7 linked regions of the Xenopus tropicalis genome follow. The protein of the gene in region 1 interacts with the protein of each later gene in a pairwise test. Links are inferred from orthologs where the notes say so. Each region holds a gene or a part of one and is shown in the gene's direction. Other genes may lie near its edges.

What was found.
Region 2: the proteins of pde4dip (region 1) and snca interact in a two-hybrid assay, tested with the Homo sapiens proteins (2 studies listed by BioGRID and IntAct). The link is inferred for Xenopus tropicalis from reciprocal best matches to the Homo sapiens genes PDE4DIP and SNCA.
Region 3: the proteins of pde4dip (region 1) and bysl interact in binary tests that used the Homo sapiens proteins (3 or more experiments, as listed by UniProt). The two-hybrid records come from large-scale screens. The link is inferred for Xenopus tropicalis from reciprocal best matches to the Homo sapiens genes PDE4DIP and BYSL.
Region 4: the proteins of pde4dip (region 1) and immt interact in a two-hybrid assay, tested with the Homo sapiens proteins (2 studies listed by BioGRID and IntAct, with this or other methods). The link is inferred for Xenopus tropicalis from reciprocal best matches to the Homo sapiens genes PDE4DIP and IMMT.
Region 5: the proteins of pde4dip (region 1) and tnik interact in a two-hybrid assay, tested with the Homo sapiens proteins (2 studies listed by BioGRID and IntAct). The link is inferred for Xenopus tropicalis from reciprocal best matches to the Homo sapiens genes PDE4DIP and TNIK.
Region 6: the proteins of pde4dip (region 1) and c1orf109 interact in binary tests that used the Homo sapiens proteins (3 or more experiments, as listed by UniProt). The two-hybrid records come from large-scale screens. The link is inferred for Xenopus tropicalis from reciprocal best matches to the Homo sapiens genes PDE4DIP and AIRIM.
Region 7: the proteins of pde4dip (region 1) and cdc5l interact in a two-hybrid assay, tested with the Homo sapiens proteins (2 studies listed by BioGRID and IntAct). The link is inferred for Xenopus tropicalis from reciprocal best matches to the Homo sapiens genes PDE4DIP and CDC5L.

Annotation. Positions count from the first base shown.
Region 1 is NC_030680.2:118,185,742-118,189,241, forward strand, and holds part of pde4dip (myomegalin), read left to right. Parts: intron 1-409; coding exon 410-902; intron 903-1,283; coding exon 1,284-1,519; intron 1,520-1,843; coding exon 1,844-1,895; intron 1,896-2,229; coding exon 2,230-2,453; intron 2,454-2,708; coding exon 2,709-2,837; intron 2,838-3,131; coding exon 3,132-3,302; intron 3,303-3,500. UniProt on the Homo sapiens protein: Functions as an anchor sequestering components of the cAMP-dependent pathway to Golgi and/or centrosomes.
Region 2 is NC_030677.2:78,431,629-78,435,670, forward strand, and holds the start of snca (alpha-synuclein), read left to right. Parts: upstream 1-1,242; 5' UTR 1,243-1,526; intron 1,527-1,928; exon of another isoform or gene 1,929-2,034; intron 2,035-2,074; exon of another isoform or gene 2,075-2,159; intron 2,160-2,492; 5' UTR 2,493-2,517; coding exon 2,518-2,638; intron 2,639-4,042. UniProt on the Homo sapiens protein: Neuronal protein that plays several roles in synaptic activity such as regulation of synaptic vesicle trafficking and subsequent neurotransmitter release.
Region 3 is NC_030678.2:70,761,285-70,765,387, reverse strand, and holds the start of bysl (bystin), read left to right. Parts: upstream 1-1,303; 5' UTR 1,304-1,321; coding exon 1,322-1,580; intron 1,581-2,694; coding exon 2,695-2,857; intron 2,858-4,103. Other genes in the region: med20 (mediator of RNA polymerase II transcription subunit 20), read right to left, coding at 1,144-1,157. UniProt on the Homo sapiens protein: Required for processing of 20S pre-rRNA precursor and biogenesis of 40S ribosomal subunits. May be required for trophinin-dependent regulation of cell adhesion during implantation of human embryos.
Region 4 is NC_030677.2:17,822,759-17,826,945, reverse strand, and holds the start of immt (MICOS complex subunit MIC60), read left to right. Parts: upstream 1-1,387; 5' UTR 1,388-1,515; coding exon 1,516-1,560; intron 1,561-4,187. UniProt on the Homo sapiens protein: Component of the MICOS complex, a large protein complex of the mitochondrial inner membrane that plays crucial roles in the maintenance of crista junctions, inner membrane architecture, and formation of contact sites to the outer membrane.
Region 5 is NC_030681.2:111,604,333-111,607,832, forward strand, and holds part of tnik (TRAF2 and NCK-interacting protein kinase), read left to right. Parts: intron 1-186; coding exon 187-273; intron 274-2,369; coding exon 2,370-2,561; intron 2,562-3,500. UniProt on the Homo sapiens protein: Serine/threonine kinase that acts as an essential activator of the Wnt signaling pathway. Recruited to promoters of Wnt target genes and required to activate their expression. May act by phosphorylating TCF4/TCF7L2.
Region 6 is NC_030678.2:86,154,160-86,158,201, forward strand, and holds the start of c1orf109 (uncharacterized protein C1orf109 homolog), read left to right. Parts: upstream 1-1,242; 5' UTR 1,243-1,484; coding exon 1,485-1,660; intron 1,661-2,431; coding exon 2,432-2,704; intron 2,705-3,795; coding exon 3,796-3,975; coding exon of another isoform or gene 3,976-3,991; exon of another isoform or gene 3,992-4,022; intron 4,023-4,042. UniProt on the Homo sapiens protein: Part of the 55LCC heterohexameric ATPase complex which is chromatin-associated and promotes replisome proteostasis to maintain replication fork progression and genome stability.
Region 7 is NC_030681.2:148,158,413-148,161,912, reverse strand, and holds part of cdc5l (cell division cycle 5-like protein), read left to right. Parts: intron 1-1,079; coding exon 1,080-1,207; intron 1,208-1,464; coding exon 1,465-1,564; intron 1,565-2,276; coding exon 2,277-2,495; intron 2,496-2,868; coding exon 2,869-3,016; intron 3,017-3,500.

The DNA of each region.
Region 1 (3,500 bases):
TGTTTGAGATAGAAGTAAACAGAAACCTTCTTGTTCCAAACAAAATTATAATGGTAGTTATTGCACAATTCTTTGTGTCATTATTTTCATACATTTTTCCACCCACAGGAGGTTTATTTTACTGCATTTCTGTATTGTGTTTATAGCACAATAATGTCAGGAACTAAACTTCTACATTTAGCCTAAATCTTAAGCCAGCATAATGGTCATGTCTACTTATGGGCTTGCAGGCCAACTTTATAGCAAATACTTGCTTAAGAAAAAGCAGGCTGCTTGGGTATCAGTGGACATACATCCAACCTTTGATAATCCCATGCCACACAATTCAGGAGTTAGGAAATACTTTATAAAAATAAAATCTACACATCATTCTAATGTTGTAACCTTCTAATTGGTCTCTTGCCTGCAGAATATGAAGAGCATGAAGAATTGTTTAGTGAGAACAGCCTTATGGAAGAGCCGAGTTCTCCGTATAAAGGCTGGTCACCCTTAGTAACTAGCTCACCTTTGAAAAACAATGAATGTGGGCAGAATGACTGGACATTAGACTGGGAGAAATCAGAGGATGTCACAGTCCTTCAGCAACATGTCAAGAACCTTAAAGTACAATTACAGAAGGCACAGAAGGTGATAAGTAACCTACAAAGCCGAGCACGCTCATTCTCTGCTTCTAGTGACTATGCTAACCACCATCGCTTGAAGCACAGCGTCTCTTTTCATGGCTCCACATCACACAGCATTACAGATGAAGATGAAGGCTGGCAGTCAGATACAGTTGGTGTTAACTCTACCAAAGACTTAGAGCAGCTTGTCCAAAGGGTGTCTATGCTAGAAGCTCAGCTCCATCAGTCACATAGAGATGTTGGTGCTCAGGATCAGATTAAATCTGCAACATGGCCTGGGTAAGTTATCATTCCACAACAATAAATGTGATTAAAAAATGGGTACTTTTTGTACTGCACTTTGTTTTATATTCACTTTATCAGACTGCTGGAACATTAAAGTACCTGATTGAAATTTTTATTGTGATGCGTTCTAGGTGGATCATTAGCACAAACAAAATATCTAAGACTAGGGTGTAACAACAGGGGAAGCTGGCATTGGAGGTTGGGGGCGGGGGAGGACTTGTACGGTGACCAGCGGGCCCCAACTGCCGTGCTTTTTTTTTTTTTTATGAAGCAAAAGTCAGGGGCCTAAAATCACTAATGTCTGCAATAATGATATTTTGCATGTTTTTTTTTTTTTTAAATCCCAATTAGTTACACATATGTCCATCCTTACAGGAAATACGACTCCCTAATTCAAGCTCAGGCTAGAGAGCTGTCACTTCTAAGGCAGAAACTGCGAGAAGGCCGAAGTGTCTGCCATATACTCACTCAACATCTAGGGGACACCATTAAATCCTTTGAGGAGCTTCTTCGTGCCAACGATATAGACTATTACATGGGCCAGGGCTTTCGTGAACAGTTGACTCAAGGGACCCAGCTAGCAGAGAGACTGAACAATAAACTCAACAGCAGTAAGCCTTTTTTTATACTTAGAAGAATAAGTGCCAGTAATGGATTCATTAGTACACATTGCCCATGAATATTTGTTAAATTTTTCAACTTGATTCATGCACATTTGTAGTTTAAATTGTTAAACTATATGTTGTACTGTATAAGTCATTACTTCGAGTTTGGACCCTATCAGCTTTGTCATATTTGCCCATAGCACTGGATTTGCCAATTTGATTTTTAATAAGAGATCACTTCCCGGTGTATGTTTCATTGGAAGTAGATTCCCTACGATGATTACATTTTAGCTGCTGAAAATTAATATTTTCTTTTTCCCCTTTTTTCAGAAGAACGTTCAGATGTCGATGATAAATCCAGACATGAGCTGTTGGCCATCAGGTAATTGTCACAACTGACTGTATATTGTACTCTGGGGCCCCCTTCAATAATGTCACACAGCGTGGCCACGAGTCACACACACACACCGGGCCATGCATGGACTTATTAATCAGATGGTTCAGTCACTCTCACCTTGTACAATCAAATGTCCTACCCTTGGTAGTCATTGTTACTTTTTTGGCACACCCTTTGCATTTCTTTCCATATGGAATATGTGCTCCATGCTTCCTTTCCCTGTATGCTCTCTGTCCTGAAAATCTATTTAACCATTCAAATTCAGCAATTTAGTGCATATTCACATTCCTTACATGACTTACACTTTGGTTTTTGACAGGCTTAGCAAAGAGCTTCAACAAAAGGACAAAATCATAGAGTCTCTTCAGTCCAAGCTCGAAGGCCATTCCCTTACTCCATCCAGCAGCCATGCTATCTCTGAGTCAGATCAATCTGACAGGACCTCTTTTGTGTCCGATGACCAGCTTTCCAACAATGATGATTTAGATGGCTGCTCAGAGGTGGCCACAGCCAGCGACTATACCAGAAGCACCCACGTCGCAGGTAATATCCTGTATAGATTTAGATGGCACAGTTCAGGGAAGATGCTAGGTCTGTAAGGAACTGTACTGAAGATACAGTCTTTATATGCATAAATACAAACACACACACATAGTATATATATATACAGTATGTGTGTGTGTGCAGAGTATACATTAAACCTACAAACTAACTTAAAGACAATAAGTATTTTGTGGATTGTTTGGGACACTTGAACTCCATCATGGTCATCTTTCATTTGCCATCTGCTTTCCATAGATGCCATTCATATCGATAACGTGGCTTCTCACCCCGCAAAACCATCACTTTCCACTTCTCATGAAGTTCAGCAACAGCCCAAGCTCCATGTAAAATCAGCGCAGCCTCACTCTGCAGAAACTCTGCAAGGTACGGGGATCAATTGTGTATTACTATATCATACCCGGGTGTGTCATTTTCCTCTCGCAAAGGGAATAGTGCAGATTCCTCTCTGACTGGAACATGCTACTTTATGTTGTGGCAGATATGAGGAGCAGTGTCTGAAACCATTATCTGAACACATTTTAAAAAGTTTTGGGATGTGAGAGAAATTTTTTACACATGCCTGCCAACATTGATTCATATGTATCCAAATATCATTTTGTTTTAGTTTCTTCTTTCAATGTCAACATTGTCCGGCCTTGCCCTTTCTTTCACTTCCAGGACATTTTATCCCTCCACCTAGCTCAGTTAATGTGCTGAGTGCTGCCCTTCCACCCAGTGCACCTTTTCCACCCTTTGGTGCTCATCCTCCCATGGTCAGTGGCCCACCAGTCTTCTCTCTGGCAGAAGTACAGCAAGAACTCCACATACTGCAAAAGCAGCTGGCAGAAAGTGAGAGCCATATTCTACCATGTTTTTGTCACTTGGCTTTTGCATGGCTAGAAGATCACTAAGTCTCAACACATCTCACACAGGTTTCCCAAATATTTCTTGTTGAGTGTGTACCAAGTCCAAGACTCTTCCCAGAATTCCTGTGCACTTGCATATAGGCAGATATTAGCACCAGATAGTAAACTGCCATATATGGGC
Region 2 (4,042 bases), on another chromosome or scaffold:
GAGTTCAATTAGTAGGGCTTGTGCTAGTTGTACTTTTTGCATATTGTTTTAAAAGACACCTCTCCTCCAACAGAAGAATCTTCAGAACAATTCTGTGAATTATTCCTCTGTCGTTGTAGCTTTCTTGAATAACAAAGGGGTTATGTACTGTACCACACACACAATACATTGTGTAAAGTGCAAAAAGGCATTAAGTGTCGCACTCTTGCACATGTAACCTGGGGATTAGAAAATGAGCACTTAAATTAGCTTGGAAGCCTTGCTGTGTTGGAAAAATAGATTGATTCTCTACTGGGTACCATTTGGTTGTAGTTTCCCAAGGGATTTATTTGTTTTCCTGGTTTCTTACTACTATATATATATATATATATATATATATATATATAATATGTAAATAAGGGATGATAATAATAGTACTCCTGTTTTTTAGGAATGAAACTGGTTGCTGATCTTATAGCATTTCATAGCAGTGCATGGATAATGGTCAGAATGAATTATTGTGGATAAGGTTGATAATAAGATGTTATCATTACCAGTAACCAGAATGGGTCTGCAAAATGTAATTATCTAAAGGTTCCACATTCTTTAGTTACAGTTATGAATTGGAGTATTTAGGGCATAATTACATTGTCCTTCCACTGACCAATTCCCTGGGTTGAAAGGAACCATCTACATAATATAGTAAATACTAGAATTCAGTTTTGGTAAGGCTTTGTAATATTTTAGCTGTTTAGTGTTATTCTTCTCTTCTTACTGTCATTAGTAATTGGAGAGAGCGCTTAAATGCTTGCCTGTTACATATCTGCTATCACCTTAGTGACTGCAAGCTTGTTGTAAGAAATATTTATTGTGGCAAGTGCAGATATTTAGCAATAAATAATTCAGCACAGCAGGCATACAGCAGCTGCTAGGGTAAGGTAGCAGATCATTTGCATGTCTGTAGTAGACGATATTACTCTTTTTTGTTGGTGGTGTTTTGTGGGCAGATTTGATTGTTGCTTTCCAGCACCTACATTACAAATGAAGGTGACGGGAACAATAATTTTCCGATGCAAGGCAGACCTCTTAATCTCAAATATTTCTGTTGATAATGGTTCTCATTGTTTGCTCGAGCAGCAGTCGGATTACAAGTGGTCCAGCTTGGGGAGGCTGGCTACGATTATTCAATTTTCACACTGACAAATCAGGCATGTGGAAAGGAAAGACGGGAGGAGGGAGGTGTGGAGGGTGTAGGGGAAGGGAAGAAAAATACGGAGGACATAGGTTGCTCCTACTGAGTAAAAGTATTAATCTCTTATTTTTTACCCCTTCTAAAATTCCTTCTGTTTATGAAGAGCTGATAGGTGTGGTTTCTCTGGTACCTGCTTTGAATGCTTTGATTCCATCAGGTTGTTACATATGCACATACCTCTCAGGGGATTTATTTGGCAGTTATGTACTGAAGAAGAGACTTGATTCCTTTTTTATTGTTTATACACGCACAGATATCATTCCTGTTGGACTAATTTTGGGGAGCAAAGGTTAATGTAAGTATTGCATTTACATCTATATAACATGCCATGTAGGATATTAAGTGTATTTATTCTGCTCACTATGAGCTTTTTTAAATGTTCTATCTGGCATTTTCACCCAGACCTAGTTTAAGCAGCTGACAGTTGCTCACGGGATAGCTTGTCACCTGTGTCCTTAATGCAACGGAGAATGATGCACATGGTTGTTTGTCTTATATAAGGAGAATAGGAAGTATGAAGGTTTCTGTGGGTTAAATGCTCAATTTTATCTTTAATCTTTTTGCCTGTGTGAAGTACGGTATATTGTGTCTGTTTCTCTCCCATTCCCTTTCTCTGACTCTCCCTCAACCACCCCCACACAAACTCTCTCACACATACACAGCACCACTCTTGCATACAAACACACTCAAATATTCATTCTTGCACACACACTCATACATATCTGTATAAAGAGAGACTCTCACAATCACAGACATACATACACTTTGATCTTCATCACCTATCAAACATCTTAAATAATTAGGTACATTTTAACAACAGGGATTATCTTTTTTCCTTAAGAATAAAGTTTTTGTTGGATTAAAAATAATTATTGTAAAGCTTTTTCATCCTGACAACAGCTATTGCATTATTATTTACAATATTTTGGTAAGTTACAGACCTTTGTAAAATACTACCATCATAGACCGACTCGTCCTGTTGAAATACTCTGTTGCATGTTGTAATGTAGTAAAGAAGTATTAGACAAATGGCGTTTCATGTTTCAGAAATCCATTTTTGGCAATATAATACATATATATAGCATATCTTGCTGATTGGACTGATTAAGGATAGACAAGGGTTGCACCGAGAGATTGTTTTTTAAATCCTATACTAATCAGTTACAGATATTTTATTTTGTAGATGCTGTTCAAATGTAATGAGTTACACTATAATCAAATGACCTGTCCTAATGTGTTTGTATGCATTTGTCTTTTGCAGAGCCACTAGAATAAATTTATTAGCTATGGATGTATTCATGAAAGGGCTTTCTAAAGCTAAAGAGGGTGTTGTGGCAGCTGCAGAAAAAACCAAACAGGGAGTGGCAGAAGCAGCAGGAAAGACAAAAGAGGGTGTTCTCTACGTAGGTAGGTAAAAAACTAATCAATATAATGTCATCTGTTCAATTACAATCCTTATCTCCATTTTTCATCACCCTGCAAAAAACACAATAGGATCTATCATTTGTCTTCCGTGTCCTTGGAATACAAATGCAAATACCCTTTAACATTTGTTTATTGTGTAGAAGTTTGTAGCAGTAGTTGTCCATGGCAGAATGGATCTGTAACCCCTGGAGATCACAGAGGATCTCCTTGGTGGTAAATCCCATACATGTCTGTTTTAGAAGCAATAGCCCACTGTACAGTTTTGTAAGCCACAAGACAGACCACTACAGAAACTGTAGGCTTGATAATAGATTGCCCAGTTCTAATCACATTGTAGCCTGTTACACATATTCTTTACATTATGATTTTACAAAGTGTTGTTTCTTTTGAAGGTATATTGCAAATCTAATTTACACAATACAAATAAATAATGACTAAATTTAAATGCTACTCTTTATAATGACAATTAAAAAATTAGGGAGAGGGATAGAAAGAACATAGTTCAATATATTCTACAGATCTGTAAAATAGAAGGGTGAACACATCAATATAGTTCTCCAAGTGCTCAGGCAAAGGAAAGAGGCATAGGAACCAGACCAGAAAGGTCAACTAGGGAAGATTATGGGACACACTGCCCCCTGAAACCTACAAAAGACCTGAGTTGTGGTCCAGTACACTACATTTTAATAATAACACAAAACTAAATGTCCTTAGTTCTCTTGTGTAAACCCTACATGTTCCTATTATGTATATAATTTGGGTACATCTCCCTCACTCAGACAGCATCATTTGTACTGCATATATCCCCAAAGTTCACCAGCACCATATTATTTTCCTAAAACAGATAGTAGCTTTCACCCACCCGCCATTATTAGTGATGTATTTGCAAACAGCAACTTTATGCTGTAAAATTCATGCAACTGAGACTGCAGGCTTACACAGGCAAAACTTACTTTGATAAACATTTTTGGTTGGTTTGAGCACTCTAATGTTTAATCTGAGCTCAGAAGACATGGCTAGGAGAAAAATAGAAGCAGACAGCTAGAGCAGAGCTTCTATGGGAACCAGCAATGCCATCTCCTAATTGTCTGCTAGACTGGAGAGTCTAGTAATCTGAGTTGAGAAGAACTGAGCATGCCCAGTAGCCAACAGTCAAAGCATATTCCTGAGGAAGGGGGCTGAGTGGGTTACAGAAGAAGAAGGAATCCTAAGTGATTAACGGGATGCTGCAGCCTTACTATTAACCTTTTAACAACAAGAGTGACATGTAGTTAAATATTTCAAAGAGGCTGCTTACTTATTACATGTTTGTGGGGGGTTCACGTGTCCTTTAAAATTAAAATATGTACATAGAATAAAGTTTGCACAGTGCACATATTTATAGTC
Region 3 (4,103 bases), on another chromosome or scaffold:
TTTTGAATGGCTGCCCCCATGTCTACACAGCAGGGTTTATATAAACTCTAGTAATGTTTCTGAAGCAAACACACAACTTTTACCAGTGCAGGGCAGCAGTACATTATAGTTTAATTTCTTTAAAATATATACATTTTTGGTGTTACTGTTCCTTTAAGATGACTCTAAAGAGGGCAAAGAAGTTAAGAAAAACAAAATCTCTCTTCATATTACCAGTGCAGCTAAGCAAACACTGGCATGTATATTGTAAGATGTATCCAGTATGGCAGCATCATGGGCACTCAAAGGTTTAGCGTCACCAGAAAAGATTTTCAAAGCAGCAATTTGGAGGTGTCCTAATATTTTTGTGAAGCATTAAAAAATGTTTCTGCTTCTGCAGATTTTGAATAAAAAAGTAAAGTATTTTGCAGCATTTGGTATGTGTATGTTCCCTCCCAATTGTGCGGACTGCCATGAGAATGTGAACAGGAAAAGAGAAAATCTATATCCAATTTACTGTGATTTTCTTTTCCTGGAGCATTCCAATGCATTGTGGGTTATGTACAATGGTGGCATTTGGAGGATGCAGGCTGAAGGCAATCATACAGCAATAGGAAGTATGGTTGCTGCCTAGGCAAAAAAAGAAATCATGGCTATTGTTAATGTTATTTATAAGAAAGGAAGATAAACATAAGACAGATATATTTTGGTATAGTATATCAGTCTTCCTATATTCATAACTTTATACCCTATTAATAACATTGGCATCCAGCACATTTTTTTTTTTACCAGCAACGCTATTGGGGGTTCAAAATTATCATTAAAAAATTCTATTATTCCTTAACAAAGGCAAAAAAAAATCCTGAAAATAAGAGGCAGAATACATTTTCAACAGGTTATATTTACAGTGTTGATTTTTAAAAAAGGATATCTTTTAACTGTCTCCCTATTACCCATAGCATTCTTAGTGTGATACTGCACTGCAGTGTTGAATTCGTAGGATTCCGTTTTTCTATAATTAACAAAGCAGCAGTCATGCAAATAAGTAAGCGTAAACTTAGTTTACAAAAGATAAAAACAATCCAGAAGTTAACACGTATCTGCAAACATCAAAATGACGTTTCTTCTTTTTCTACTACTACATTAAAAATGACAAACACTTACCAAGTCACTCCCATGCTGGTACTTAATTGTACAAAACACAGCGACGTGTTATGACGTCACGGCGCTCAAAATTGTTGTCATTATTTGCGGTTCACGCAAGTCCCACATCGAGGCGTACGATGCCAGGGGAATAGGAGCATGCGCAGTGTGTGGATCTATGCACGTGTATGTCAGGAAAATGCCAAAGCACAAAAATTCTCGGGGAGCTGCTTCTCGCTTACTCCCCTTAGCTGATCAGATCGAACAGGAGGGAGAAATTAGACCCTCGTTCCGTAATAAGCGCAAGGGGAAACCTACAGACGACGCCGAAGATGATGGATACGTGGACGAGAAATTGTCCCGAAGGATTCTGGAGCAGGCCCGTATTCAGCAGGAGGAATTGGAGGCCGAATATAGTCTGGGGAATGTGACCCCTAAAGAGAGGACAACTGTTTTAGGTAAAAAAGGGTAAAGAAACATTTCCAAGGCAGAATACAAAACAAAAGTTTTTAAACCGGTATATAAAATCAGTGGGGAGTCTTTAGACTGAGTCATAACCAACAACTAGTGCTGTAGTTGTAAATACATAGAAACGAGTATGGGACAGTCTTAATAATCCATTAATGTAATCCATTTAGGGCCAGATTATATTGAAATTTTGCCATGCAAAAAAAGTCTACTGGGGGCCAAAGAAATGCTCAAATGCTCATTAGCTGGTTCAAATTGAACATTCCAGGTATATAATATGATACAGTCATACACATATAAGAATATTTGAAAAGTTGTACATAAATAATTTGCTAACTTCATTCTGTGATAAAATGAAGGATATCTAATGTGCTGTTTTATATGCTGATGCATCTCCATGCAAACACATGTGCAGTATGAAGCAAGGAGGGAAAGGAAGGGAGAATACCTTTTTAGAGATGGCTGCCTGTTCTAGAATATGTGAAGTAAGTGTGACTGAGTAAATATTTGATTAGGTGAGCCAAAAGTGTGGCATTTTTACTAAACAATAGGAGGACTATTGGGCAGTATGCTTTTTAAATTTTGACTTGCATTCTCCTTTAATGATTATACTCCACATAGCATATATACTTTAGTGTATATGTTATAAAAGACCGGAATCATGTGTGCAAAAATGGATTGTACACTGCACCTTCATCTTAATTTTTAAGATTTGATTTTATCAAAAATGTTTTTAGGACCCTTTTTAAATTAAAGGTACCATACAGGCAGTGCTGCTTTCTAGTTCTATTTAGCCATGACAAGGTACAGTATGCTCAGTTATACTAGCTGTAATTAGAACAAAAAGTGTGTAATATAGCCTAACATGCACTAAATGTATTCAGACTGTGACCCTTAACTCGCATTACAAATATTTCATGTTCTCTTGGGCCTACCCTGGGAATTGTTTGGAACCGGTGCTCCACAGAAACAGACCTTGTAGCATTCACTAAGTACAGTCTGAATTAACTTATTTACAAATTAGAGGTCATTATTTCTTCATATTTATCTTTGCTTGTATATTGGCAAATCAATCATTATCTTTTGTAAATCCTTGCCCTTCAGATTCCAAGAACAGAGCAGAGGGTTCAGACTCTGAAGATGATGAGTGGCCTTCATTGGAGAAGGCAGCCAGTCTGGAGAAAGGTACCCTCAACGAGGAGGTACAAATTAACCCTGAAGATGAAAAGGCAATGGAAATGTTTATGAATAAGAACCCTCCACTAAGGTAAAGTAGCAACTATCTGGAGACGCCAAGGGTTACATGGGTCAAATAAAGCCGGGCCAGAACTTGGGGTAGTCAGAAGGGAGCAACGATGTGGGGGTGTGACAGTTACCTCTTCTGCCTACCCCCTAGTACACACACTATTGCCCCAGCTGCTTTTCTCGCATCCTACCCGGGATGTCAGTGCACTTTCTCATGTACACACATGAGAGGTGGGGTGCAGGGTGGCCAATTGGGTTGCCTAGGGTGCCCGGTCGGCTTGGCCAGCCCCTGAATAAAATAATCATTAATAGAAATACTTTATAGCAAAGATTACGGAACTTTATCCATACACTATCATTTGTGAAATTTAACAGGTCTGGATATGTACATTTTAGTCAAAAGATGATTTTGAATAAAAACAAATTAGTGATGAGTGATTCATAACATTTTCAACCCTAACCTGCTGTTTTCCAACCCAGCTTCTACTATAACTTTTATGTGGTTCTTCTCCGATGACTCTTATATGGGTGGGACCAGTCACCACAGGAGATGGGTTAGAATTAATACATCACCTGGTTGCAGTTTTACCTGCCACCCTCTTAAACCCGCTTCTAGGGCTTGGTTCTCGTGGGTTTTGAGTCATCCCATTTATCCCTAGTGTGAATGAATGCTTAGTTTACCTATAGTTGCAACCAGTAGAGCAAAATGAAACTGAATTGCTGTCTCTGCTAATTTCTTTAGTATATGGCTTTACATAATGACAAACCCCTCCATTGTTTCTAATCCCTCTATCCCTCCTAAAAGGGGTGTAACCATGTATATTCACAGCCCAGTCACTTGTTTCATCTCACTAGGTCTCAGTGATACAAATTATATCCTAATTGTCAGTACATTCAATAGACTCCAGCTCTTCTAATTTCCCTGACAAGCTCTGTGCATTTGCCAGCATGCCGTGGAGGTTACTATTTTTCCCTCTAATATTTACATTACAGAACTAAGAGTTAGATCTGAGGTTACTATTAGGGGTTTTCCATGTAACAGAGGAATCTCCTTAGCTGGTAAAATGTATGTATCCTTGCTTATCCCACTGCCAGATCTACACTAGCTTTCCCATAACCCCCCCCCCCCTGCCTTTTTTAAACACTCCTCCAGCCTCTTAGCCATTTTTTTTCCCCAGCACAATGGACCCCCATTCCATTAAGGAGCAATCGGTCATGGCTGTATAGATTGTACCCCAAAGAAAAGTCAGCCCAGTGTTCTAGGAACC
Region 4 (4,187 bases), on another chromosome or scaffold:
CGGGTGGGGAGGGGACGACCGACAGGGGTGGCCTCGGGGCGCCCAAAACAGAAATCCGGCCCTGCCCGGTACAAGTTTCACTAAGCTGTTTACCTGCTACCCCCTACACCTCTTTCACTGCTGAGCTCTCTTTAGCTGTCTCCTTCTGATAACCTCCCTACCCAGAGTTATCCTGAACCTTTAGGCCAACATTTCCTTAACCCCAGTCTTCCTTACTGGTACAGGACAAAACCCTGATGGTGGTCAGTGTATCATCTATAATACTACCTGCAGGGTAATTAGCTTAACCATGTTAGTTTGCTACAACTCCCTGCATTCATTAATATCTAAAATACATTTTGCTTTCTATTAAAAGTATTGCTGAAAGGATATTGCCTTATACTTCTCACTGTAATGTATGCCTTATACATACACTGTAATGCTTGTGCAACAATGAGTGTCATGACATGCTGTGCTACTGTGTATGGGGGCACTGTGTATGGGGGGCACCTGTGTATGGGGGGGCAAAACTGGTACATAGTTATAACTCACATATAACTCACTGCCTTCTCTCTATATTTGTATTTATATGTAGGAGTTGCTATAATGTTTCCCTTAGGCAGTACAGTATGAGAGTATAGCACATTTGCGTCTGATCCCGCCATTTTAACTATATAAAAGGAGTATTTTTTTAATGGGGTGTGGTAATTGGGGCGTGGTCACAAAAGAGGGTGTGGTCAAAAAAATTGCCGCGCTGCGCGCACCAAATCTTTTTGTCCCTCTTTTCATTTTTCAAATGTTGGGAGGTATGCATGGGACATACAGAGTAACATATAAAGCAATCAATAACCGATACAAGAGGTGAAGAGGGCCCTGCCCAAAAGAGCTTACACTCTACAAGGAGACATACAGAGTAACATATAAAGCAATCAATAACCGGTACAAGAGGTGAAGAGAGCCCTGCCCAAAAGAGCTTACACTCTACACAAAGTTATTACAGAAACAGCTGTGACTTGTGAAACTATGCAAAGGATAGTTCTCTAGGTGTATCAGCTGCTTCTGCTACATTGCTGTGAGTCAGAACCCGCGGTGCACAGACTGTAACCAGGCAGGCACTGCTTTCAGCCATCACAGAGCTGCACAGAGAGTGTAAAGTTTATTTTAACCACATTTTATTGCGCAAAAGCCAGTTTCATGGTGAAAGTCCCCTTTATTAATACGTAGTGCGAAAAGTCATGTGGTACAAACTCTATAACACTGCGATAAACCACAACACACGATATCCCTGTTAGGAACTACAAGTACCAGCATGCCCCAGCCATGAGACCCGTATTGGATACGCAAATCCCTATCTTGTTCTCAGAAGTGTTATTAATAAAGCTGTTGAATTAAAAAAAAAATCAAGCTGTCATGCCATAGTGGGCGTACCCCGGCGAATGACGTAGGCGGAGCTAGAGGTGCTACACGGACCGCGCCTCCATTCATGCCGTACTGAGAGCGCTCCCGGAGCTTGCCCTCCCCATCACACCGGAGAACATGCTGCGGGTGTGCAGGAAGGCCCAGGCGGCGGTGCTCGCCAAGGTGAGTGGATAGCGCGAAAGAGTACACAGTGTTGCAGTGAGGGAGCTTCTAGTTGGGAGAATGGGCGGGGATGGATTCTGACAGGATATCGCCTAAAGGCCGGGAAACAGCAGTACTGAGCCTTACGAAGTAAGGGACCCCGGCTTCCAAGGCTGGGAGCCGTCAGCGGCGCCTAGGACTTCCTTTCACTCCAGCCAATTACAGGCAACCGCTTTAACAAGCTGCAGGCTGACCGGCCAATCAGATTCCAATGTCCTTGGCACTTTAGCCAATTACCCCTTGGTTAAATATATGACGCTGCTCGGGCGGGGCTAGCGTTAGATTGACGTCTGTTAGACCTATAACGTGGTTAGTTGTTTTGACGGACGTTCTGTGAAGCCAATGAGCGATGTATATTTTGGCAGGTAGAATGGAAAGCTATAGTGGCGAGGGACTGTGAGGCGGCATGGGGCTAGGTCACCGGGGCACACGGCCTGTATACGGCCTAAAGTTTATTTTAGCCTCAGTGGCTAATTGTACCCTCCTGCGAGAGCGCCCCTGTCTGCATAAACCCCACTTGTCTTTTGCCTGTAGGTGTGACCTTGCTTGGTGTCCCATCCCCAGGGCCTAGCTCCTATCTGGTGCCAGGGACAGTACAGAGAGTGGCAAAGAGCTTAGTTAAAGTTATTGGACCACAACTCCCAGCATCCCTTGACAGCCTTTTGCGACAGTTAAGGTTTGCTTTTTGATTGGGAGAAAATATCATCTTTTCATTCTTCCATATAAATTGTATAAAAGCGCTGCTTCACCTTCACCATTGTGTCTTTTTATTACTTATCTTTCTATGTAGGCCCTCTTCTATTCATATTCCCATCTACCTTTTAAACCACTGGCTGGTTGCTAGGTTAAATCGGACCCTAGCAACCATACAGCTGCTAAAATGTAAAATTGGGGAGCTGTTGAACACAAAGAAAAATATATCAAAACCTGCAAGTAATTAAAAATGAAGACCAATTGCAAACTGTTGCAGAATAGCACTCTCTGCATCATACTAAAAGTTCATTTCAATGTAAACTGCCCCTTTATATGTACATTGTGTTGTATGAAGCAGATCTAATGATGTATAGAGCGTTGGCACTCTGCCTTCTACTTTCTAATCTGTATCTGACCCCAGCCCAGGGTAGGAATCCTTATACAGGTGTACTAGGGACCTGGGGAAGGTATATTTCCATTATTTGGATCTCCATACTTAATAATTAAAAGCTGAAATAAACCCAGTAGGATTGTTTTGCCACTCACATGGATCTGTGCTGCTTAGTTACCATCTCATACAAGGTACTGTTCTAATATTTCAGAGAAATAGGAAATCGGAATTATTTGCTTATAATAAAGTCTGCAGAATATTAAAGATGAACTCTGGCTTCTGCGCCAAAATGTGTTACAGAGCCCCACACAGCACAGAAACCCCCCAAATCCCTATCACTGTAATCTGTTCCTTCAAAAAGTAGGAATAAATACCATTTTATATGCTGAAATCCAGCTGCAAAACAGTTCTTCTCTTTCTGCATCATTTGAAATCCTGGCAGGGGAGAAGGGACTAAAACATTGATGTTACAAATTGTAACAACTTCTCCACAGCTTACTGACAGCATGCAGGAACCCACAAATTCTCCGACATGGGGGCAATATCAACAGGAGCCAGTTAACTTTCCCCTATATTGCTGGAGGATGCACAGCAATGGCACAGAGGAACGTTACTCAGATGCCAAGCACACAGTGCCCAATCTGCACGTAATGCTCAGCAATGTGGGGCAGGAATGCTACTTAACGTGCCACCCTGCTCCCATTGATAGCCGTGCCCTTGGATGTTGATATGAATAGGTCACTATGCTATCTTTTTTTACCCACAATGCAGTTTTTATCCCCCCCCCCCAGCAAAATGGCAGGTACCCTCTAAGGCTTATGGCACAAGGGGAGATTTTCTGCCCATGGCTAAATCTGGGCTGCCGCGGGCAAGGAAATAAGCACTGTATATGCTTTCCCACTGTCAACTTACTTTACTGCTGGTTGCAAAGCATTTTGGGGAGATTTGTCACCCACAGTAACCCAGATTTAACCAAGGGTGACAAATCTCCCCTCAGGCCCAAAATGGCAGTCTATGGATTGCTGTAAGGTGCCACAGACAGTCACTATTTATTGGGCTGCTGGGGGGCTGTTTGTGCCTCTGGGTACTGGGAATGCCAGGGGGGCTGTAAGGTGCCACAGACAGTCACTATTTATTGGGCTGGGGGGGCTGTTTGTGCCTCTGGGTACTGGGAATGCCAGGGGGGCTGTAAGGTGCCACAGACAGTCACTATTTATTGGGCTGGGGGGGCTGTTTGTGCCTCTGGGTACTGGGAATGCCAGGGGGGCTGTAAGGTGCCACAGACAGTCACTATTTATTGGGCTGCTGGGGGGCTGTTTGTGCCTCTGGGTACTGGGAATGCCAGGGGGGCTGTAAGGTGCCACAGACAGTCACTATTTATTGGGCTGGGGGGCTGTTTGTGCCTCTGGGTACTGGGAATGCCAGAGGGGCTGCTGTAAGATGCCACAGACAGTCACTATTTATTGGGCTGGGGGGGCTGTTTGGGCCTCTGTGTACTGGGAAT
Region 5 (3,500 bases), on another chromosome or scaffold:
AAACACTGGGCAGCATTGTATAAATGTATGGTTTAACATGAATTTATCTCTCTAACTGGTGTACTCTCTGCTCTGAATACCCGCTATGTTTCTTTCTTGGTAATTGGTGTCTAAGGTACTAACAATTCTTTTGCTCAATCACTTCTTTCTCCTCGTTTCTTTCTCTTTCACTGCTGCACAACCCAGGAATACATAAGGCGACAATTAGAGGAGGAGCAGAGGCAGTTAGAGATATTGCAACAGCAGTTACTGCAGGAGCAAGCTCTACTTCTGGTAATGGGAGTCATTCCCCAGTTCATTCCTGCCATTGTGTGTTGCATTACCTACTACTTCTTGGTCATATGTCCAAAGTTCTCATCTTTCAGAACAAGTGCCTTGCATGTTGTTGCACTCATTAAAATACTTTGTACCAATATGTTTCATTAAAAATAATACAGAGAGGATCTTCTTCATATTAAAATAGGTTTTCATGATTTGGAACTAAAGGGTTTTTTTCGCATTAGATTTTTACAATACATTTGTGTCTTTTTTTTTTCCTATAAATGTGATAGCATGCCAGAGTGCCATAATCCTTTCAGGGAGAGTCACGGTGATCTAAATGCCCCTGTACTAATCACTATTCTTCCAGAGTATAGTGGCCATTTAATGAATTATAAATTCAGGCATTTTCACTTTCTGCTAACATTTGTACTACTGCAACATTTGCTTAATATATTTCCTTAAATGGTCAGGTCACCCGATAATGACAGATGAATAGAACAATAAAATATATTCGTAACAACTCAAATCTAAACTCGAGATTAGTCCGCTTTTTGGTTGTCAATGATCCAAACAAGCATAATATATATATATAATATGCAGAAATGGGATTGTCTTCTGCATGTTGTCTTTTTGTTTGGTGATTGCTCCTCCATGCTCCTATTATATATAGTGATAACACAAACAAACTATATACAAATATACAAACCAAATATATTAAATATAGTGAGAAGGATTGGTTCCTCACAGCACAGACCCCTTCACCCTTCAAAAAGCAGGTTATCTGAAGCTTGGAGAAAGCAGGTTTCAATGCCGTATATATCAAAATGAAGTCAGAAATTATTTGCATTGCTAAAAATGCTCCCATGCGCTACGTAGTGGTAGTTATGAGAATAGTATCCAAGCAGGAGAAATAGGAAGCCAAGTTGGGAAATAATTTTGAATATTACAAACCATAGCTTATCTGAAAGCAGTTTTATTGTTTAGTGCAGGCTCAGGCACAATGACCCTAGATGTCTGCCTACATATTACTACTAAAAATACATTATTGGTTCAATAATGACATTTCTTAAAAGTGAAAATGAATTATTTGCAATGTAAACAGTGTAATTTAGTGAAAAAACTATGCCATAAAAATCACTTTAATAAAGTAGGGCCAGGCTAACAGATTTGCAACTAAAGGCAAATGAATCATGTCTAGAAATAAGTTTATTCCTTGCGCATTGCCATTGCATGTAATTATGGCTTGTAAAGCCTTGGCCTGCAAGGTAATGGAATGCTGTGTAGCCTTTTGTTCAGCAAAGCTGTCAGTTGCTGTTGTGCCTCACAAACCCACACCTTTGTTCTCATGAAGCAGAATTATGGCTGTTGTGCTCCCTAGGAGAGCTGTGCTCGCTTTAGGCTTTGCAGAATTAGCATTGAGCAAAAGGACTAAGGATGCTTCAGTGGTTCTTGCATAGCCGCGTATGACTTGGCGGGTTGTTCATATGCCGTAGGCACACCATTCCTCTGCCAACAACAGCAATTATCATAGATGGGAAGTCAGTGGGACAAACTTATTATACGTATCCAGCTGAAATCACCTTCTTTGATATCAAAGACTGTTACCATCCTGTTACGTCATTAAAACGATTTGTGAAACAAAATGTTCTTTTTTCCTGTTTATTTAAACCCACATAACATCCCAGTTTTACTTACAATGGAAATAATGTAGCTGGTTTTAAATAAGCCTTTATTAAAAACCAAGTCGTGAATTGAAAACGTTTTAACTTCACCTTTTAAGATAACACCCTTAAAGAATTTCTTATGCTTTATTGGAGAGGCCACTTTTTTGTTTATGTTGGAGCAAGTCTGAGTGTAGTTTGCTTTCCAGGCTAACTTGCCACTGTTTTTGCATTTTCTCCACAAAGTTCAGATTCCTACCTTTTAAATACTTTCTTTTTATTTTCACTTGACATCCTATAATAAGGTCAAACATCTTGGCATTCTATTTTGTGGAGAAAAACAAACCTATTCAGAAAAGTCTCTGGTGGGTTGGTTGCAACAATTAGAAATGGGCCAAAGAGTCAACATCTGCCTTGTGACTGATTTTTACCTACCTTTCCTTAAAGGAGTATAAGCGTAAGCAGTTGGAAGAACAGAGACAAGCAGAGCGACTTCAGAGACAGCTTCAGCAAGAGCGAGATTACCTAGTTTCTCTCCAGCAACAACAACAGCAGCAACAGAGGTCATCTGAGAAGAAACCACTCTATCATTACAAAGAAGGGCTAAACCCTGCAGAGAAACCAGCATGGGCAAAAGAGGTATGGCAGCCATTGTGCCCCAACTGGGCTAACAGAACTCAGCATGAAATAGTAACATAATTGCTTGACCGATTGGGTGTATTTCAAGTATTAATAATTTTTGAATGTTTCATCAATGTTTATTCTTTAATAACAGGCTGGGTAGGATTCAGTGTGACTGTAACTTACACAGCTCCAAACCTAGAATGTAGGCTGACATCATGTACTGCAGATACTGGTTAGTATTAAAGTGCTGAAAATACTCCCTCTGTCCACTGGGGAGCGCTGGGTACCTCTGTAAGATTAAATTCTCGTTGGACATCAATTACAACTTGCTGTATTTGATTTAATGGCCATGAAGAATACAAATGAACATTTTAAAGCTGATGAATGTGAATTAAATATTTTAGATTATTTCTAGTAGCATCCGAAAGGTAAGGAAAGTATTTAACCTAAACAAAGCCTTGTGGGGGGAGGGTCATTGTGTTCATATATCAGAAGTTTTGCTTTTAGCTTTTTGATGTTGGCGTTAGGGTTGACTGATGGTAGCTCAATGAGTTCCTTATACCTAACCATCCTTGGATCTTTGCATCTGTAGTATGCCATAGGGTCCACTTGATTTTTAAATGTATACTTGGGGGAGTAAATGCTTCAAGTCCCTGCTTGGGTATATATAGCAGAGGTCAATGAAGAAGGCAGATCCTAGCAAGGTTATGAGGAATTACTCCTTCCAAAACCCTTGAATACGTTTTATTTGAAGGAAAAATAAGATAGTCTCTGTGGAATATTATTTCTTAATCAGGAGTTGAAGAGATGAAAGGACAATTTTTTTTTTTTTATAAATGCCAAAATATTTTACATTTTAGAAAAATTGTGATGCAGTCACAAGTGAATAAACCCTCTCATTATAAGTGTTCTGAATAGGAGTCCTCTGTATTTATTATTTTAAATTATCTCCTC
Region 6 (4,042 bases), on another chromosome or scaffold:
TTCCTGCCCCTATCATCCTCCTCATTCATGCTGGCACTATAATCTTTTCACAAACACACACCGAGAAGAACCAAAATGTTAAGCAATCTACCTTCTCTATAAACCGGAAACCACCGAACGTTACCTCCGATCCGGAAATAATTCCCTCTTATTTAAATATTTTTGGGATTTGTAGTTTCTAGCGATTTATCATAAAATATCCTTTATAGCAGCGCCGACAAATCAAAATTTACGTTAGCTACTCTCATGCACAATTATGGTATTAAACCAACTTAAACTGCAATTGTTACCAAGGAAAATAAGGAATAAACAATTGTCGCGCCAGTCACCTCGATAGCAATAACAAGACTTTAAACTACAATTCCCTTCATGCCGTGCGGCTGTAGGTTTCCATTTCCGGCTTTAAAAAAAAAGGTGAATGTATTCACGTTGCAGTTGTGCTAATGATAGCGGGCAAGCTAAGCAGCTTTTCCAGGTCTGGTGAAATACGTGCGTTTGAATTGGGAAGTTGACGCTGTTTTTATTTTACCTTTTCTGTTCTATATGACATTATATATGACATTGTTTGTAATGCTGTTTAAGGACACGAATCAATGTAATACGGATAGCCTTACTTTTTTCTTAGTAAATAATTGAAAGCAATACTGAAATATATCACCTTTTATATACATTTGAGCCGATGATTCGCCCTTATAAAAATAATCTTAGATTTATTAATGTTATTCTGGTAGTGTTATGTAGAACATCTTCCACTGTGGTAACTGCTAATATAGGGGTGGATATACTTATTTTTTCCTGTAATCACTGTTCCAAGCATGCAACAATGCCTCTGTTCCTTACAACTCCTGGCAGTAACTACTGCTAGGTCTAGGTCCAACTTTTCCAGCAAACAAATACCAGCTGTACCATATCTATAGATTTTTTTTTACCAACTATGTATAAAAAATAAAAGAAAAAATGCAGCACAGGTAGCCATAGGTTGTTTAACCTTTAAAGCAGGGGTCGGGAACCTTTTTGGCTGAGGGAGCCATAAACACCACATATTTTAAAATGTAATTCCCTATAATATGTTTGGCCGCGGGGCAAGGTTGGGTGGGTCCCAAGGATGCCGGTTGCTGGATGCAATGCGGAGGAGGGCGTGGCCTGTGCTCGGCGTATAGAACATGTCTTCTATCTGCCGAGCGCAGGCCACACCCCCTGTTATTTTTTTTTTTATTAAAGATTTGGCAGCGAGCCAGATGCAGCCATCAAAAGAGCCACATCTGGCTCCCGAGCCATAGGTTCCCTACCCCTGCTTTAAAATAAAACAAAAAAAACTGATACCCATAACACTGGAAGTACTAGAAAGCCACTCCCATAATAGGTAGAACTAATTAAGCAGTTTTTTTTGTTAAAGTTAACAATACTTTATGGCTTAGATTTTATCGGGTGCCACATATTACTGATCATTGCCAACATAAAGCGATTTTAAAACAATATAAATTATGCATGTGTGCCAAAATCTTCGAGTCAGAGCAAATCTGATAACAAATGTTTGCCTAATTGCTGCTATTATAGATTTGCAAGCAATTTTAGCATTGGTGTCCACTCCCTCTGAAGTCATTTGGCCCTTGGGTTGTCATGATATGACACATCAAAACGCACGGATAAATGCCAGCGGGTATGTACCCATAATCTGGCCTATTGTTTTTAAAATAAAGGGGACATATTGTGTGAAAAACCATATTGTGCCAATGATTTGTACTCATCTAAATATAAAAGAAATGTGCTTTAAAAAGTAGTGTTTGGGGCTGATTTATTGATTTTATTTATCTGTTCCACTTCTGGCTACCTCCTTTCCCAGGTTGTTCAGGGGAGGCCAGCGGCACTCAGCACACTATATAGGAACCAATCAGCAGCTAGACTGACCTGATAGGGAACTGAAGCCTGTCTTTGCCTGTGTGACTGCAGGGCTGTGATTGGCTCTCCCCCTTTTACTGTGCTTCTGGCAGGGACTATTAGAACATGCCCACCTCTCATCTGAAACACGGACAGGGACCTGAGAGGATCTATAGGGAATTCCAAAAAGGGACAGTTCTTACAGATAGTTTTAATTTTTATACCAAAGTAAAACCAGCCCCATATATTATTCATAATTGTCTACAAGATTAAAGTTTATGTAATTTATGTCTCCTTTAAGAAATGTTTGCTGCAACTTAGTTTAAACATATGCCTACTTCTCTAAGACATTTCAGCATACATTTTACTATACTGAGTTAAATATTACTAGGCTAATGTGAGTATATCTTTTTCAAGGGTTTAAATACTTAGAAAGGTGTTGTGTGTTTTTGCATTCATAACGCTGTATAACTGATTTGTTGGCTTGAGTTTTATTTTAAGTGCAAAGCATCAGATTTATGACATGTATTTCACCAGTTTTATCGTTTTATAGGATGTCTGAGAAACCAGCCTTTGTTTCCGTGCAGCAATCGCTGAGAAAGTCCTTTGATGCCATAGAACCACTGCATGAAGAATGGAATAATACACTTTTAGAGTGTAACCCACACCTAACTTCTTTAAGTAATCTAGCAGAACAGCTACAGGCCTGCCAGAGAGTACTGTTTAAGAAAACCCCCCTGAGCAGCTTTATTAACCTGCAAGAACATCTTCGTTTTAAACTACAAGCAGCTATGGAGTTTAATTTGGAGATCTTAAATCAGAAGTTGTAAGTCCAATGTGTTGTTGGTTCAACCCTTCCGGTGCTGGTATCACCATGCAAATTTTTAGATAAGATACAAGCATCACTTTACATGTACATCAGTTCTGAAAACACTGAATTACTTGCTTGTCATACTTAATGTAGATATCTTTCCATTGACTGACACAGCTTCAGTGTGTATTGTGCTACACTGAGCGGATATCAGCACGAATAGGCATACTTGAGTGTTTCTGCGCCAATATCCGCTATGTGTAGCTCCACACAGGCAGACACTGCCTGTTAATGGTTCTACAGGAAGGAGCGCATGACAGTGGATCCACTTTCCTCTGCCTGGGTAAAAACTGCAGGTGAAAGAAAGAGTATCCGCTCCATGTTCCCTTACCTTAAATCTACTCTGCTGAGTAGATATAGCAGTTGTTAGTTCTAAAGTGATACACTGCTAAAAGAATGGATTTTGGACAATACATTCTCATAGGATGCACATTTTTTTGTACTCGGCAGGTTTTGCCTTTATAAATATTCTTATATTTTTAGCAGCAATTTTCTTCTTCCTCAATAAGAAGAGATATGAAATGGCGTTGATACTCACACTTGCATACAAGTTACAGGTTAATTTATTTTGTATGGAAGGTTTATATCCCCACAATATAACCTCAAGCTGGTTGGTTGTATTTCAGTGTGAAGTACATGATTGTCAGTTGTGTAATCACTACCTTTTGGTTCCCACAAAATCTAACCAAATCAGTAATAGGTTTAATATTTTCCTACAATAAATTATTACATTGTGACTACTAATTGCACAGTACTAGTTTTAATCACTTTATACCTTTTACTCTCAGCAGGATATTGCAAAATAATCACATACCCACAGCAAGTTAAAACATGAAAGCCAAAGGTCTAGGTTTTTGGATGTGTGTAATCTGTACAGACTTGTTTATGGCCTAATACAAAATGCTATTTACATTGTTGGGCATTATCACAGGCAGTAAATATTGTAGGTTGCCAAACTGGGCATCAGATTTTCACTTGAAAAAAAGTATTTCCTGAATACAAGGATTATCTACATTTTGTAACTCTTCAATTGCTAAATTTTACAGGTCTACGCTGCAGAGAATAAGGGACTCTGTAAGTCAGGTGGTTGGATCTGTCCTCTACATGTATGAGACAAGCATTGAAAAAATTGGTCTTGAAGCAATTTTGGAGCGTTCTTCTCTCTGTCCTTCCATAGCTGACATGTTAGAATGGCTACAAGATATAGAGAAACATTACAGAAACCAGTATCCTTTAAAGTAGAACTACTAACAAGTCCTGCCTTGAGACACAAGTAGGAATCCCTGTTCCCAT
Region 7 (3,500 bases), on another chromosome or scaffold:
TAACATAATAGCCAGAACACTACTTCCTGCTTTCAGCTCTCTAACCTCTTAGTGAGTGACTAGAGGTGGGGCCACATGGGACACAACTGTTCAGTTATGTCCCATATGGCCCCACCTCTAGTCACTGATTGGTTACTGACTGCTAACAGCTTAGAGAGCTGTAAAGGGGAAAGTAGAGTTACATTTTTGTCTAACTATATTGAAAACATTTTTATTTTATGCAGTATGTCTACTTTACCCAGTTTCATTTTTACATTGAATTGTTCCTTTAAGATCCAGTTGACTGGTGACGAAGCCAAATAAGTGCAATATTACTTGCTTAGGCCTCACTGCTGGTAGGCCACATAGTTTGGCCTGTGGACCAATGATAAGCTCACACAGGGAGCTGTTGCAGACCACTTGGGGGAGGACAGTGTTCATGGCACAATAAAAGTTTTCAGACAGTCTGAGTTATATCTAGCCAAGGCCCAGTTATTGGTCATGGAAGCCATTTTTTGGTCCCATCTATAAGCTGCAGACTCAAGCAGGAGTGACTCTTTAGAAGTCCTGGGGGTGGGGGTTGACAAAAGATTACAATATATTCTAGGTTACTCTAACATTTGCCCATGTCCTTAAAGGAGAACTAAAGAAATAAAATAGAAATGTTGTACATTATGTTTAGGGCTCCTGTATCAGCCCAAGGCACCCACAGCCCTTTAGCAGGGAAGATCTGTGCCCCCAAAGATGCCCCAGTTAGCTTAGGTACCCACTCACACTATACTTTGTGTATATGTGTGTATATATATATATATTCTGCTTAATATTTCCTGACAGCCTCTAAGCTTAGTTTATCAACAGCTGCCCAGAGTCCGTTGAGCATGTGCGCGTCTCAGACTCTTTTGATAAAATCCAACATGGGGAGCCCCTGTGACAACTGTAAAGACCTGGATCATTGCTGCTATAGAGATGCTGAACCCTTAGGCTGGTGCAATAAGTTCATTATTCAAAATAGGGCATTTCTAGCCATATTAATTTGTAGGGTTTAGTAGTTCTTTAAGGTTGAATAAAACTAACTGTGAATATGGGTCTTATTTATCTAGAGATAAAGCTGCGCAACGTGACAATGAGGAGGAGTCCGCAGACGATCCTCGCAAGCTTAAGCCAGGAGAAATTGATCCAAATCCTGAAACAAAGCCAGCAAGGCCAGATCCAGTGGACATGGATGAAGGTAACCTTCTTTCACAGTTAGGGTTTTTGGAGGCCAGTGAATAAGATGCTGTTGGGGGAGGGGGTGGTATGATTGCTGCTATACTTATCAGTACATGAAGACATTTGTTGTCAAGCTTGGATGGAAAGAAGATGCATCTGCTTGTTTTGCAGTAGGGTAGGATTTATGGATTTGGGATATGAAATGAAATAGGGGGCTCTTGATTAACAAGAGCTGGTCTGCCCCTTTGAATTAACAGTGATACATCTTTATTTCAGATGAGCTTGAGATGCTCTCGGAGGCTAGAGCTCGTCTTGCCAACACTCAAGGCAAAAAAGCCAAGAGGAAAGCACGAGAAAAGCAGCTGGAAGAAGCCAGGTACCGTGTTTCTCTGCACACCCTAATTATCTCTTACGCTTCTAGCATTGTGTCTGCATGAATGGAGATTATTCATGTGGCATCATAAGCACTTCAAATTACTTTGAAATAATAAATCTTTTTTTTTTCTTTTTAAAATAACTATACAGCCCCCAAAATAAAACACCTTTTTCCCTGCATGCTGATTAATTTTATTTCTCTATTACAAGCTGCTGAACAGCAGTTCTTTTAGTTACTTCCTTGTCTTGTGTAAAACTCTGCCTCCTTTTGCTTCCCTTCTCTCTGACTACGATGACCTCAAAAAGGGTGCCTACTTGGCATGCTCGCTGCCTCTGCTCCAATTAAATTTAAACAGGAATGCGCAGTATGGAGCAGAGGCAGTGAGCATGCCCTGTAGGGCATCTGATAGAGAAGGAGGGCTCAGAAAGCAAAAGGGGGTGGAGCTTCATGCTAGACAAGGAAATAACTAAAACTGCTATTCAGCTGCTGAAGAGAAAAATAAATCTGCGTGCAGGGAGAAAGGTTTGCTATTCTGGGGGATATTTAGAGTAATTTTAGCGGATGTTAAAATAAAAGGTTTACTTATAATTAAGTGGTTAGTACCTGTACTCAGCACCCGTATCTTGTCAATATCATGGAATGGATATATTTGGGTACACTGTGTATACAGGTTGGAAATCTTGTATTCAGCCCCTTTCTACCCTTTTTCCAGACGTCTTGCAGCCCTACAGAAGAGGAGAGAGCTTCGAGCTGCCGGAATCGAAATTCAGAAGAAGAGGAAAAAGAAGCGCGGCGTGGACTACAACGCCGAAATCCCATTTGAAAAGAAGCCTGCCCCCGGGTTCTATAATACATCTGAAGAAAACTATGATGCCTTGAATGCCGACTTCAGAAAACTCCGCCAGCAAGACCTGGATGGCGACCTCAGATCGTATGTTTTGCTGTCTGCTAATATGTATTTCTGAATATATCAGGGAACTGCCTTATTGCTTCATTCCAACAGTTGCGCAATATCCCCCCATAAAAGGCATAACGTTTGCCCAGAAGCAGTAACGCATTGCGATCAATAAGATCTTTGCTTTTAAACTGGTGACCAGTATATTCTACCTGCTGATTGGTTGCTATGGGTTACTGCTTCTTGGCAAACTTTGTGCCTTTTATTACATAACCCCATAGGTAGTAGAAGTTATATTGTAAGGCTACAAAAATGTAATGCTAAGCTAGAGATATCAATCGGTTTTGGGTAATACTGACATGTCATTGAAAGGGGAATTCAACCTGTTATTCCTTTCTTGATCAATCAGAGAAAAGGAAGCAAGAGACCGGAAGAAAGACAAACAGAACATTAAAAGGAAGAAGGAATCTGATTTGCCATCAGCCATTCTTCAGACAACTGGGGGAGTCTCGGAACTTACTAAGAAGAGAAGCAAATTAGTTCTGCCTTCCCCTCAGGTTTGTACAGGATGGCAAAGCATAGTGCCAAGTAGGCGTGTCATATGGAATACCGCAGCCCAATCAAATAGGGGCATTCATTGAAAATGAGCTGCATATTGTAGATAGTGGTAACTGGTGTTGGGAGGGACTTTAAGTTCCTGAATCCATCACAGAGAAAAGTAAGGTTGGAAAATGGTTTCTGCTTGGCACAGGTAATGCTGAAAAAAAGTTGTTTAATTTACAGTGGAGGAAATAATTATTTGACCCCTCACTGATTTTGTAAGTTTGTCCAATGACAAAGAAATGAAAAGTCTCAGAACAGTATCATTTCAATGGTAGGTTTATTTTAACAGTGGCAGATAGCACATCAAAAGGAAAATCGAAAAAATAACTTTAAATAAAAGATAGCAACTGATTTGCATTTCATTGAGTGAAATAAGTTTTTGAACCACTACCAACCATTAAGAGTTCTGGCTCCCACAGAGTGGTTAGACACTTCTAC